Linked DNA regions of Oryzias latipes. The protein of the gene in region 3 binds, or shares a complex with, the protein of the main gene of each other region. Links are inferred from orthologs where the notes say so. Each region holds a gene or a part of one and is shown on either strand. Other genes may lie near its edges.

Evidence for each region.
Region 1: the proteins of wdr48 (region 3) and usp46 are in contact, whole or in part, in a crystal structure (PDB 6JLQ), measured with the Homo sapiens proteins. The link is inferred for Oryzias latipes from reciprocal best matches to the Homo sapiens genes WDR48 and USP46. Residues at the interface, in NP_065890.1 of Homo sapiens: Arg50, Trp77, Asp118, Tyr119, Lys121, Leu137, Arg139, Ser170, Tyr172, Thr188, Asp211, Asn212, Lys214, Ser230, Gly254, Trp256, Arg272, Ile364, Leu424, Lys425, Gly521; in NP_073743.2 of Homo sapiens: Arg181, Leu183, Asn184, Cys185, Glu186, Thr187, Cys222, Ser223, Glu224, Lys226, Cys232, Cys233, Ser234, Lys235, Gln236, Glu237, Gln239.
Region 2: the proteins of wdr48 (region 3) and usp12 are in contact, whole or in part, in a crystal structure (PDB 5K1C), measured with the Homo sapiens proteins. The link is inferred for Oryzias latipes from reciprocal best matches to the Homo sapiens genes WDR48 and USP12. Residues at the interface, in NP_065890.1 of Homo sapiens: Arg50, Trp77, Asp118, Tyr119, Lys121, Leu137, Ser170, Tyr172, Thr188, Asp211, Asn212, Lys214, Ser230, Gly254, Trp256, Arg272, Ile363, Ile364, Leu424, Lys425; in NP_872294.2 of Homo sapiens: Arg185, Leu187, Thr188, Cys189, Glu190, Thr191, Ser227, Lys230, Cys236, Arg237, Ser238, Lys239, Gln240, Glu241, His243.

The regions. Positions count from the first base shown.
Region 1 is NC_019862.2:988,166-991,917, forward strand, and holds the start of usp46 (ubiquitin carboxyl-terminal hydrolase 46), read left to right. Parts: upstream 1-1,570; 5' UTR 1,571-1,876; coding exon 1,877-1,912; intron 1,913-3,752. UniProt on the Homo sapiens protein: Deubiquitinating enzyme that plays a role in behavior, possibly by regulating GABA action. May act by mediating the deubiquitination of GAD1/GAD67.
Region 2 is NC_019878.2:17,502,640-17,506,391, reverse strand, and holds the start of usp12 (ubiquitin carboxyl-terminal hydrolase 12), read right to left. Parts: upstream 2,627-3,752; 5' UTR 2,539-2,626; coding exon 2,491-2,538; intron 192-2,490; coding exon 111-191; intron 1-110. UniProt on the Homo sapiens protein: Deubiquitinating enzyme that plays various roles in the regulation of the immune response and inflammation.
Region 3 is NC_019875.2:17,404,511-17,408,262, forward strand, and holds the start of wdr48 (WD repeat-containing protein 48), read left to right. Parts: upstream 1-1,248; 5' UTR 1,249-1,330; coding exon 1,331-1,378; intron 1,379-2,033; coding exon 2,034-2,174; intron 2,175-2,283; coding exon 2,284-2,362; intron 2,363-2,443; coding exon 2,444-2,656; intron 2,657-2,749; coding exon 2,750-2,838; intron 2,839-3,385; coding exon 3,386-3,487; intron 3,488-3,573; coding exon 3,574-3,752. UniProt on the Homo sapiens protein: Regulator of deubiquitinating complexes, which acts as a strong activator of USP1, USP12 and USP46. Enhances the USP1-mediated deubiquitination of FANCD2; USP1 being almost inactive by itself.

The DNA.
Region 1 (3,752 bases), on a different chromosome or scaffold from region 3:
CAACAAAAAAAGGATTTAAATGTATTTTTTAAAAGACTATCAACATTTTTATCTACAGAAGACAGTAGATTAATAAATGGTCATTAACTCGTATTAATTAGATTTTAACTCTCGTTAACTCTCCCTTTAAATCTCGTAAATTACAAGAAAAACGTCATAGATTGACGAGGAAAAAACACCAAAGTTTTCCGTTTATCGGAGCCTAGTTTGAAGATGAAATATGTGGAGCCTTTTGTGAAGCTTTATTTCTGGAAATGTTTTAAAAAAAAGAGATTCTGAACCTTTTGATGACTCAAAATCAGATTATTGTCAGTGGAGCTGTCTTTCTGGGGTTCAGTGTCGGTAAAGCGGAGTTTATGTAAAATAAGGGTTCAGAAACAAGTTTGGGTGTAGAGGACCGCTGCAGCCTTTATTCTCCTTTTCATTCACATAACCTGAAGTTCATTTGTCACATTACGTCATGAACCTGTCATCCAAACACCAATGCAGAGGTAAACAGTGTTACATACGCCCCCTCCTCCAGATGAAACGTCCCGTTTCAACATAAAACAATAAAGAGGAATGAAAATAGTCTGTTGTATTAGCACTAGAACGTTGAAAATGACAAAAAAAAGTGCTGCTCCTCAGACGGAAGCATCACACAGACGTAGAAATCTTGTCTTTCATAGAGGAAGAAAGGATTGAAGTGGACATCTGCAGGGACACCGATGTCTTCATCAACGGCTGCAGAGATCCTGCAAACCACCCATCAATAAATAAAACGTTAATAAATCATAAATCAAACAAATGAGCTTCCAAACATTTGGAACGTTATCAATAAACATTCAGCTCACCTGATCAACTACGTTTAGTCGGTCTGCTTTGCTGCTGCGTGGCGTTCACTTTAATCTCGTAAATTTATGAGTTTTTTCTTGTAAATCTACTACTTAAAGTCTTGTAATTTTACTTTTTTATGTATTTGGTGGCCCTAAAACGTGTAATGACGTCATATCCTCCGTTTAAAATCCGAATTGCTTTTAAGATCCAGGGCACTACATTGTGTTTTAGTTGTTAGGGATTAGGGTGGGAATTCGGACACAGCCATGTTCTACTTTATCCTGCAACTTTATACTTAGTGTAACATGTGTGTGATTCAAGCTCATGTGTGTTTGATTTAAGCTTGAGTGTTTTGGTACATTGGTACCTTTAAGGCACATTAAAGCTTGTAAATCAGTGATGGAGGCAGTTCTTGTTCAATGCATTTTTTATTACAAAAAATAAAATAAAATATTTCCACAATAATTTAAATTATTCATTAACATAAAAATGTCTGAACATTTTTTGTATCAAAACGTAGCCCTCATATATTTAAACACTTCTCGCAGAAATGACGTTTTAAAAATAAAAAAGAAAAAGCGATAATTTTCGTAAAGTTATAACTGCATTTCCCACAATGCCTTACATTTTGTATTTGGGTTTTTATTGGTCTTTTTTTAAGGCGAACCCAGTGTTCCGTCTCTGTGTGTGGCTGTTTCTTCCTGTCAATCAACCAAACCCATTTGTTGACCAATCAGAGTTGGTTTTACCCTACTGGGCGGGACTTTGACCCATCAGGTTTGTTTCCTGGTCGCGGCTAGCAACCCGCCGTCTGGAACTTTGTGTGTCTGTTTTCCCCGGTTCTCGGTCGGTTTCCAGCGGCGGGCTGTTAGACATGTTTCCGAGAGGGAAGCCGCATCGAGTCTGAAGCAGGCGGGACCGTCGGCACAGCGCTGGCCCGGCTGCTCGGCGCTTCTCGGGGGTTGCAGTCTGGCCTCTAACCGCGGCCGTGAACCAACTTCATCCTCGCGCCGAGTGTTTATTTTAAGAAGATGGCGGTGAGGAGGACACTGTGAACTAAATGACTGTCAGAAACATCGCCTCCATCTGTAATATGGTGAGTTCCTCTCTGCCTTCAGCTGGGATGTCAGAACGGCGCTGGGTTGATTTGTCACAGAGATTGATTGACAGGTGAGGTGCAACTGACAGCTCGTTGGTGATTGCATAATAATGCGATGCTGCTGCTACAGGGAGCCCGGACATCCTACTCCTCACTAATCTGTGCTCGTGTTGCGTTCAGGGACAGGGCAGAGTGGGGAATAACAGAGCTGCGTTACTGCCAGTAGTATTTGCTTTAGTTAGACAGGACGCTGATGTCCAAACTAGTCTGCAACCATGTAGCCATGCAGCCATGCAGCCAAGCAGGCATGCGTTGACGTGTATCGCTGCATGACTTTGTAAATCCTGTTCTCCAAAAACCCCCGGCCTTCAGGCTCTGAAACTAGCCATAAGAGTCTGGTTGATGTCTGAAGTTCTTGGCTGGATTTCACCACCAAACCCCAGAGTTCCATTCAAATTCACAGTATTGACCCAAATAGATTCCGTTATTGCAGATTTTTCAACTGAACATCTAAATGTTCGTTAGTTTGCCTAATGAGGAAAGTCCTCATAACTGGTGATTCAAACAAGGCAAAGGTGGAAGAAGCATTGAAGACATTCATTGCACAAGTAGTAACAATTATTATAAACGTATTATAAACGTCTGGCAGAAAAAGTGAAAGCTGGTAGGGATGTGTGAACAGAGGCCTTAAATACCAAGAAACTGTTTTAAAAGGAAAGTGATCCATTTGTTTTACGAGTTCATTTGCATCGTGCAAAGCCTCAGTCACATCCACCCAGGGTTGCAGACTTCTGCGTTGTCGCGGAGGGTTGTAGACAGGTGTGGCTGCATCTTAAGGGGAGCACAGGTGTGCCTCACAGTTCTCTTTAAGTTTATCTGGTCACCTCAAGGGGCATCATGAAAGTGGAACATACCATTATATTTCCTCCCCCTGTTTAGCACATGCTAACTCACCGAGTTCATCTGAAATGTGTTTGGGACAAATGAATTGGTCATAGTGTTCATTATGACCTGTTGCCCACAGCACACCTTTTTGAAAAAAATGTGCATGAACATTTTCACTCTATGGGATCACAGAATGATCTACGACCTCGATATCCCGTGGGCCTCCTTAATTGTTCATTTTTTGCTTGCAGAAAGCCCATGTCCTCTCCCAAAGACAGTTGTGACTAATGCACAAGTTATGATTGGGAATTGACTTTTTTGATAACCAGTGCCATTCTTCATGCAAGAAATGTTTCAAACTGGAAGTATGAAATCCCACAGATCCTGAAACCGTCATCTTATTGTCTCTTTATGTGTCAATGGAATCCATGTCAGTAGATTTGTGCATAAATATGTCCTCCCCCTGTTTAACACATGCTAACTCACTGAGTTCATCTGAAATGCGTCTGAAACCCCAGCCAGCACCTTTGTGTCTGTAATGCACAGAGCTCTGTTGTGATGGGGTGGGGGGGTGCATTGTTCATTTACCATGCGCTCTTCTTCACATCACAGACACGGAGCACAAAAAACAGACTTGTTGTTTCACTGGTTTTGTTTGCATGGATGCTTCAGCATGACTGTGGGGTGTACTCTCTTGAATGAGGATCATTCAGGCGTACATGAGTTATTAGAACTTTCTTTAATCCGTCGTTCATTTACATTCTTTGCTCAGACCTCACGACTTTCCAATCACATGTTCTCTTCCCGTCACTCTATCTGAACTCCCCCTAGCGCTCACAAACAAAGCAAACATCTCAGGACCCCTTAGCTGTCCAAAACTGCCTGAATCTTAATATCCCTGTGCTTTACATTCCTAAATCACATTAGGTCACATGTGCATCTCTGCAGGTGG
Region 2 (3,752 bases), on a different chromosome or scaffold from region 3:
AAAAAAATGTGCTAATAAAAAAGCTGCTGAGAGCTGCTTAAGAGTATCATTTAAATTAGGTGAAACAGTTTTAAATAAATAAAGTTTTGCACTTCAAATCAGTCACTTACATTGACCAGACCAAAGTAGTGCTCGTTGACCGGAAACTGCTCAGATCCAATCTCTTTCTCCAGAGCAGAGGCATTGGCGCCCTAAAACACCACAACATACAAGCACCAAGAGTCACCTTACCTTTGTTAAAATAACACAAACACATTAGTAACACTTTTACATGCAACCATGATTTTAAAGGTCACATTTTGGTCAAAAGGTTAAAGTTTTGAGGCTCAAAAGGACAGATTTTAAAAATATTTTTGTCATTTCAAGAATACAATCACCATCATCATATATGTTTTTCAGCTCATGAGCCAGCATCTAATCTTGTTACAAAGAGTTATTTAATTAAAACTGATTTTCGACCCTGTTTGGGTGAATGTATCAGACCGAGCATTGAAAGTAAATAGATTTTGAACATTATTTTGAAGCTATTTAAGTGAAACTTAAAAACTAGTCACCATAACTTGTTAACATTTAATAAGCGATAAACTGAGATTAGGTTTTTTCTAGGGGGGTTGTTACCTCTAAAGCCCATGTCAACTTGGAAAAAACTATTAGGAATCCTTTTATTTAAAGGAATTGGTGCCAAGTTGCTTCCAAATCTATGTGCACCAATCAAATGCATCTGAACTATTTTTAAACTCAAATACTCAGTCTGCACAACAACTTGTTAAAAAATAAATAAATAGAGAGAGAGACTGAATAAGAAGATAATTTTTATGTTATCCAAAACAAAATGTAGGTAGCGGTCCACAGAGTAACAATTACAATTTCATCAAAGCTAAATTGTTTTTACTTAATAGATTTGTTTTCTTTCATTTTTTTAGACTATTAAAACATTCCTGCATAATATGGTCCCAGATGAGTGGAAGAGTGAGGGAGAGAGGGAAGGAAGGCAGGAAGGGGTGGAGGGAGGGATGAATGTTGGATTTCCACAAGTACTTATTCATAATCCATAAGTCAGTCCATCATTTTCATCGATAACAACTTCCATTCTTCTCAGTAGGTAAAATGGTGAGGTCTGATAACGATGTTGGATGAAAAAGTCCGTCTTAGAGTCTTCACTTTGGTTCATCCCAAAGGATGGTTAAGGAGAGGCCTCTGTGCAGACTAGTTCTTCCACACCAAAGACGAGGGTCTTTGTGGATCTTCCTTTGTGTACTGGTACACAGTCATATTGAAACAGCAACAAAAACATCCTAAACCTATCCCCCCAAAGACAGTTGACAGTATCGAAATGTATTCATAGTTTCTTTCACTACAACAAAGGATCCAAGCCCAGTTTCAGAAAAACAAACATAATCCTTCCTTCAACAAACTTCACATTTAGCACAGTGCAGTCAGACCAACATCAAACCCAAACACATCCATGTGATTGCTACATGGAAAACCTGAATTTCTTACTCCAAAGAACACATCTCAACTGCTTTACGGTCTGGTGATGTTATGCTTTTATACCAATGAATCAGATCTTAAGTGCAGAAATTTCCATGTCATGTGTCTCATGATCTGCTCACTCGAAGCCCACATAAACTGACGGACACTTTGTGGTTAAGCTGATGTCCCTCCAACTATGGTATGAAATCACTGACTTGTTGTAGGTGGGATCCTAATACAATCCCACCCTGGAATTCACTGAGCTCCAGAGTGCAGCCCATCATTTCACAGGTGTTTGTATAAACAGCCTCCATTCCTGAATTCTATTTATTTTTAGTACTTTTTGCAACAAAACGTGGCACCATTATATATATAATAAACAAGCTTTCAGTTAGTATAACGGTTATTTTCGAGGAGGATGCTGTCAACTTCTGAGGGAAAAAGCACTTCTAGAGATGTAATCCTAGTATCACCACTGTCGAGCAAACTGTCTGAAGAACAACTGCGCAGCTAATAATCTGTGTCGTCATTGCCAACACTAAAACTGTTATTTGATAGTAGTTGACGCTGCAGCATCACTACAATGTTCAACGCTTCCCTCAAAACACAGTCCGGACGTGTTTTTATCGGAAGTTTTCCTCAATCCAGTTGCTGGGAAGCTAAACATTGCTTTAGCTTCACATTAGCAAGCTAGCTTTGAACCCCTACAGCAGGTGCACAGTCACTACAACCAAATAGGGCGTGTAAATATGAAAATAATAATAATGGAGCATTAACTTTAAGTAAATAAATAACAAATATAAACATTCAAGGATTTGCGGCAAAAGCGAAGAGGCTCAGAAGGAGGAGGGTGGCTGCTCGGTTAGCATCAGAAACCTCCTCGGCTAGCACGGGAATCCGATTTTCACTGTTTTCATTTAAAATTCCGAGATTTAAATCTCAAATAACATAGTACTGTCAGTTTCTACATAGGCAAAAAGTCCTAATAATCACTATGTAAAACTGCCGTCCACTTACCATGGTACAAAAAGAGGCAAATTTGGAAACTGTCATTAGGATTTCCATTCGGCTAGCGCCATCTTCCACAACACCGCCGCGCGCTGACAAGACTGCTTAGAGAGGACGAAATACTGCTGAGCTCGCGGAGGACGGAGCTGGACGCGAGAGCACTCACCGCACACTACTTCCGGTTTCGCTTCTGCAGTCAGCCCTCTTTGATTAACTCAATGTACTTTCCGAAACTGCCATCTGTGTGAATGATTAATAGATTTATCAGAAAATATTTAAATTGATTATGTGAACAACATAATATCGTATATTTATTTTATAATGGCAGTTATACGAGTTGAAGAAATTAGATTGGTAAATCTAATTACTCTTAATCACAAATACCACCATTAGCTTGTACGTACAGAACATGACACATTGAAACTATACAATATTGAATTTGTCAAATTATTTAAATTAATTGCCTAGATGTGATCCTATATAATTCCCCTCCAGTTATATTTTACCTAGCTTTTTTTTCTTTACCTAAATTATCTTCATACTGTTCTTAATTTCTGATCCCTGTTGAAGTGCAGGTCATTGAAAAAAATCAAAAATTATTAAAGAATCAAATGACAAAGACGAAATACATATTAATTACGTAAGTAGACATGCCATTATTACAGAAATCAGTATAATATGTCCAAATCAAGTGCCAAAAATAAGTGAATATTGTTAGTCATTAGAAAATTACTGTCACCACAAGAGGGCACAATTCAGGTCTTTTGTGTCACTGTCCCAAGTGCGGGTAAATTCAGAAGGTTGTGTCAAGAGTGGCATTCGATGTAAACTAAATCGAACAAATCATGAACCAAACTTTGACTCCAGATAATTTTTGGTCTGGGTTAACACTGACCGCCACCAATGCTACTGGTGCCAGTGGAGATTAGACTTCTGTACAAGGAAGAAGCCATGTTAGTTGGCAACAAAACCAAAAGAAAGAGATGTGTTGGACTTGGAGTGTGGAACTTTGAATGTAGGGATTTTGACAGTGACAACTACACAGTTGAATGACATGTTGGAAAAAAGAAAGGTGGATATCCTGCATATTCAAGAGAATAGATGGAAACGAGAAAGGGTAATAAATTAGGAGCAGGTTCCAGCTGTTTTATCACAATGTGGTTGGAAAGAGGAATGTAGTAGGAGTGATCCTGAAGGGGGAGTTCATCAAAAATATTCAAGGGGAGAAAAGAGTCTGATAGGAGTGTAACATTGGGTAACAGGTGACAGCT
Region 3 (3,752 bases):
GTCCATTGACGAGGCCAAATACACTTATAACGGGGGGGGGGGGGGGGGGGGGTGCAAAGGATTCATTTATATCCATATTCGCACACCATATTCGCACACTTTTTTTAAAACTTTTTTTAAGTTACTAATTTACTATTTTCAACGAGGTGCCGTTGAAAATAAAAAAATGCCCTAAACAATATTCTCCTACAGAAATAAAAGTAACAAATAAATATAGAATTAAAAGAAAGTCTTTCCCTGGTGTTTTTTTTATACAACACAGCGTTACTTCCCCTGTCAAAATGGGGAATTGATTGTTTTTAACAATTATCTTTTTTTTTTTTGCTTTTATATCAATGTAGTATATCTTTAAGTTCAACAGCACTTACATTTATGCAAGAGAATATCAATATTTGACATTGTTATGTGACTATAATGTTATATATAAAAACAAGTATTTTCTTTTTTTAATCACAAAAAGAGTCAAAGTTCTTAATTGAAAAGACTGATAGGTATTGCATTCTCTATTATCCTGCAATACCCTAAAACATAGAAGGCTGAAAAGAGTACACTGTATTTTTAATTTTGTAGACCAAAAGGTTTATAGCACTACTTAGACATCATAAAGTTTTTAACTGTAGAGTAGTAAAAATAAAACACCACAGAAAGACCCACAAAGCTCAAAGGAGGCTCTAGGGATCATGTTGACTAGCCTAATATCACAAATTCGTATTAAAAATTAAACCATATATCTGAAACAACTTAAAGATATATGTATGTTGAACATTTTATTTAAAAAAATAATTTTAAGCTTTAAAACTGCAAAACCGCAAATGTATTTCCAACAACTGTGAATTATGCTAACGACATAAAATAAAAATACACCTACGTATTATTTATTAAATGTTGATACTTAAAAAACAAACAAACTGGTTACATGCTTGAACAAAAGAAGATGGCAAAATAAAGACATATAAGAAAATAAAGCACATAAAAAATACTGGGTTGTCATATAACTTATTGTCCTCAGCAAAAGTGAGAAGTTTTCTTGCTTTTTGATTTTCATAAATTCGAATGAATTAAAATATAAACAAATCTCCTTGTAAAATACATTTTCAATGTGGTAGATTTTTTGAAAAAAATATTTTATTAATATAAAACTTGCCCAGTATTATCAAAAACATTCAAAACTAAATCAAAAAACAACATGCTAAGTGGACACTAAACATTTAACTTTTTTCCCCTAAACATTTAACTACAATACCCATAATGCACATCGTCGAAACCGTTTTCTTGTTTTCTTTTTTTTTACCGGATGTAGCATCACATGAATTGACTGTCAACATGCAAGATGGCCACACATCACAGGCAAAATGCCGCTGGGCGGAGGAAAGTACAGGTACGTTTTCTGAGTTTTATAAGAACTTAGTGTGTGGGAACAATGTAATTGTTGTCTTTTAGGTTTGCACAAGTGTCTCATACCTGCTGAAGCGGCAGCAAAAAATCACTTGCGGAAGCGGCGTGACAACTATGACTCATGTCATGGTGCAAGCCGGCTAACCCTGTTAGCTTAGCTTAAGTAAGGTGTTAGCACCGTTGGAAAAGGAGCCTCTAACTTACAATTTGCTTCTTCAAATACCTTAGTTGCATATCCGAAAAACTTTACATGTCAGTTGGCCATTTTCCCCTTTGCGTAAATGCCGGTGTGTTTTAGCTAAATCTGACGTAACGGTTACGATGATGCTGGTTAAGCTACACTGTGTCCTGGCTGCGTCTAATTGCTGGTACGACGAAAGCGTCTCCGTATATATCTGCCATTTTCTGCCCATTCGTTATGCTTCACAAGGGACGCTATCTTTAATTTCATAGTGTGTTCTAATTATACCGGGAGGTTTTGTGTCGGTTACGTCTTCGTCCCCTTACGGTGATGCGAGTGCGTGAAGCGTGTTCCACGTCCAAAAGTGGGTGTGTTGTGGGTTCAACACTGCCTGTAAGCCTGAACCAGGCGCCGGTCCAAGAGAGAGGCTGACTGCAGTCGCATCTTTGTGCCACAGGTGTCTTACGTTATTAGGGACGAGGTGGAGAAGTACAATCGAAACGGGGTGAATGCACTCCAGCTAGATCCTGCACTCAACCGGCTCTTCACTGCTGGGAGGGACTCAATCATCCGGATATGGAGTGTCTATCAGCACAAAGTACAGTTTATGACTTCAATTAAATATATACATTTTTTTGTTTTAGAGTTTTGCAGCTGCATATAAAGCGACAGAGATACTCTTTTAAATGATGCTACGTTTTTTGCAGCAGGACCCATACATTGCATCAATGGAGCATCATACAGATTGGGTAAACGATATAGTCCTTTGCTGCAATGGGAAAACATGTGAGTTTATAAGTATTAACAGCAGATTTGATCCAAAGTTTGTGTTTAGCCTCTAGCAACTCACCTCTCCTTCTCCTCCAGTGATATCTGCCTCTTCAGATACAACGGTGAAAGTATGGAACGCGCATAAAGGATTTTGCATGTCAACGTTACGAACGCACAAGGACTATGTTAAAGCTTTGGCGTACGCCAAAGACAAAGAGCTTGTAGCATCGGCCGGTCTGGATCGGCAGATCTTTCTTTGGGACGTAAACACGCTAACTGCCCTCACTGCTTCGAATAACACAGTCACTAGTGAGTACACCTATAGTCATGTGATGGGTTTAGCCCGCTTTCATGGGTAGACGTGTTTGTGATCCACCTTTGGGCTTTTCTGTGTTCCTTCAGCGTCATCGCTGAGCGGGAACAAGGACTCAATCTACAGTCTGGCAATGAACCAGATGGGCACAGTTATTGTTTCTGGATCCACTGAAAAGGTTTGACACACATCTCCAAAAAAAAAAAAATCTATGGTGAACCAATGCACAAAATTTTTTCTTTTTGCTTTGTTTTCATATTTCTTATATTTTTTATCTTGCTTTAGCCTGAAGTTAGATCTGTAAGATTTTAAATCTTGACAGCGTGAGTTTTTGTTGTTTGTTTTTTTGTCCTAAGAATCCTGCTAGTCTATTGCCTCTACTAAGTGTTGTTGTTTTTGGAAGTTTTTTCCTCCTAAAGGGGGGTATCCTCTCTATTGTTCCAACATTGAATGCTCTTTATGAGGCAGTACAATGACAATTCTTCTATGTAATAAATCTGTCACACACATTCATTCACTTAGGCCTTATAGTAGTAATCTTGGCAAAATTAGACTACAAACATTTTAAATATATCTTCTTTGCCTTGAATTTTGCTTTGGTTTTTTTATTTGTTTGAGGCCAAATTGGTTGTTAATTGTTGCTTTAATTCAGCTGCACTATAAATTGTAATCAAACTGTAAGGTTTGTTTATCTACATAAATTTAGCTCTTTCTCCAACCTTCAGGTTCTGAGAGTGTGGGATCCTCGGACATGTGCAAAACTCATGAAGCTAAAAGGTCACACGGACAACGTCAAGTCCTTGCTGCTGAACCGAGACGGCACGCAGGTGATTCACCAAAGCGCTTCAAAAACCTCATCATGCTGAGCCGCAGGAATCCCAAACTCTTTAATCCCGCTCTGCTCCCCCGGCAGTGTCTGTCCGGCAGCTCGGATGGGACCATCCGCCTCTGGTCTCTGGGCCAGCAGAGGTGTATCGCCACGTACCGAGTGCACGACGAAGGCGTGTGGGCCCTGCAGGTCAACGAGGCCTTTACGCATGTCTATTCAGGAGGCAGAGACAAGAAGATCTACTGTACGGACCTGCGGAACCC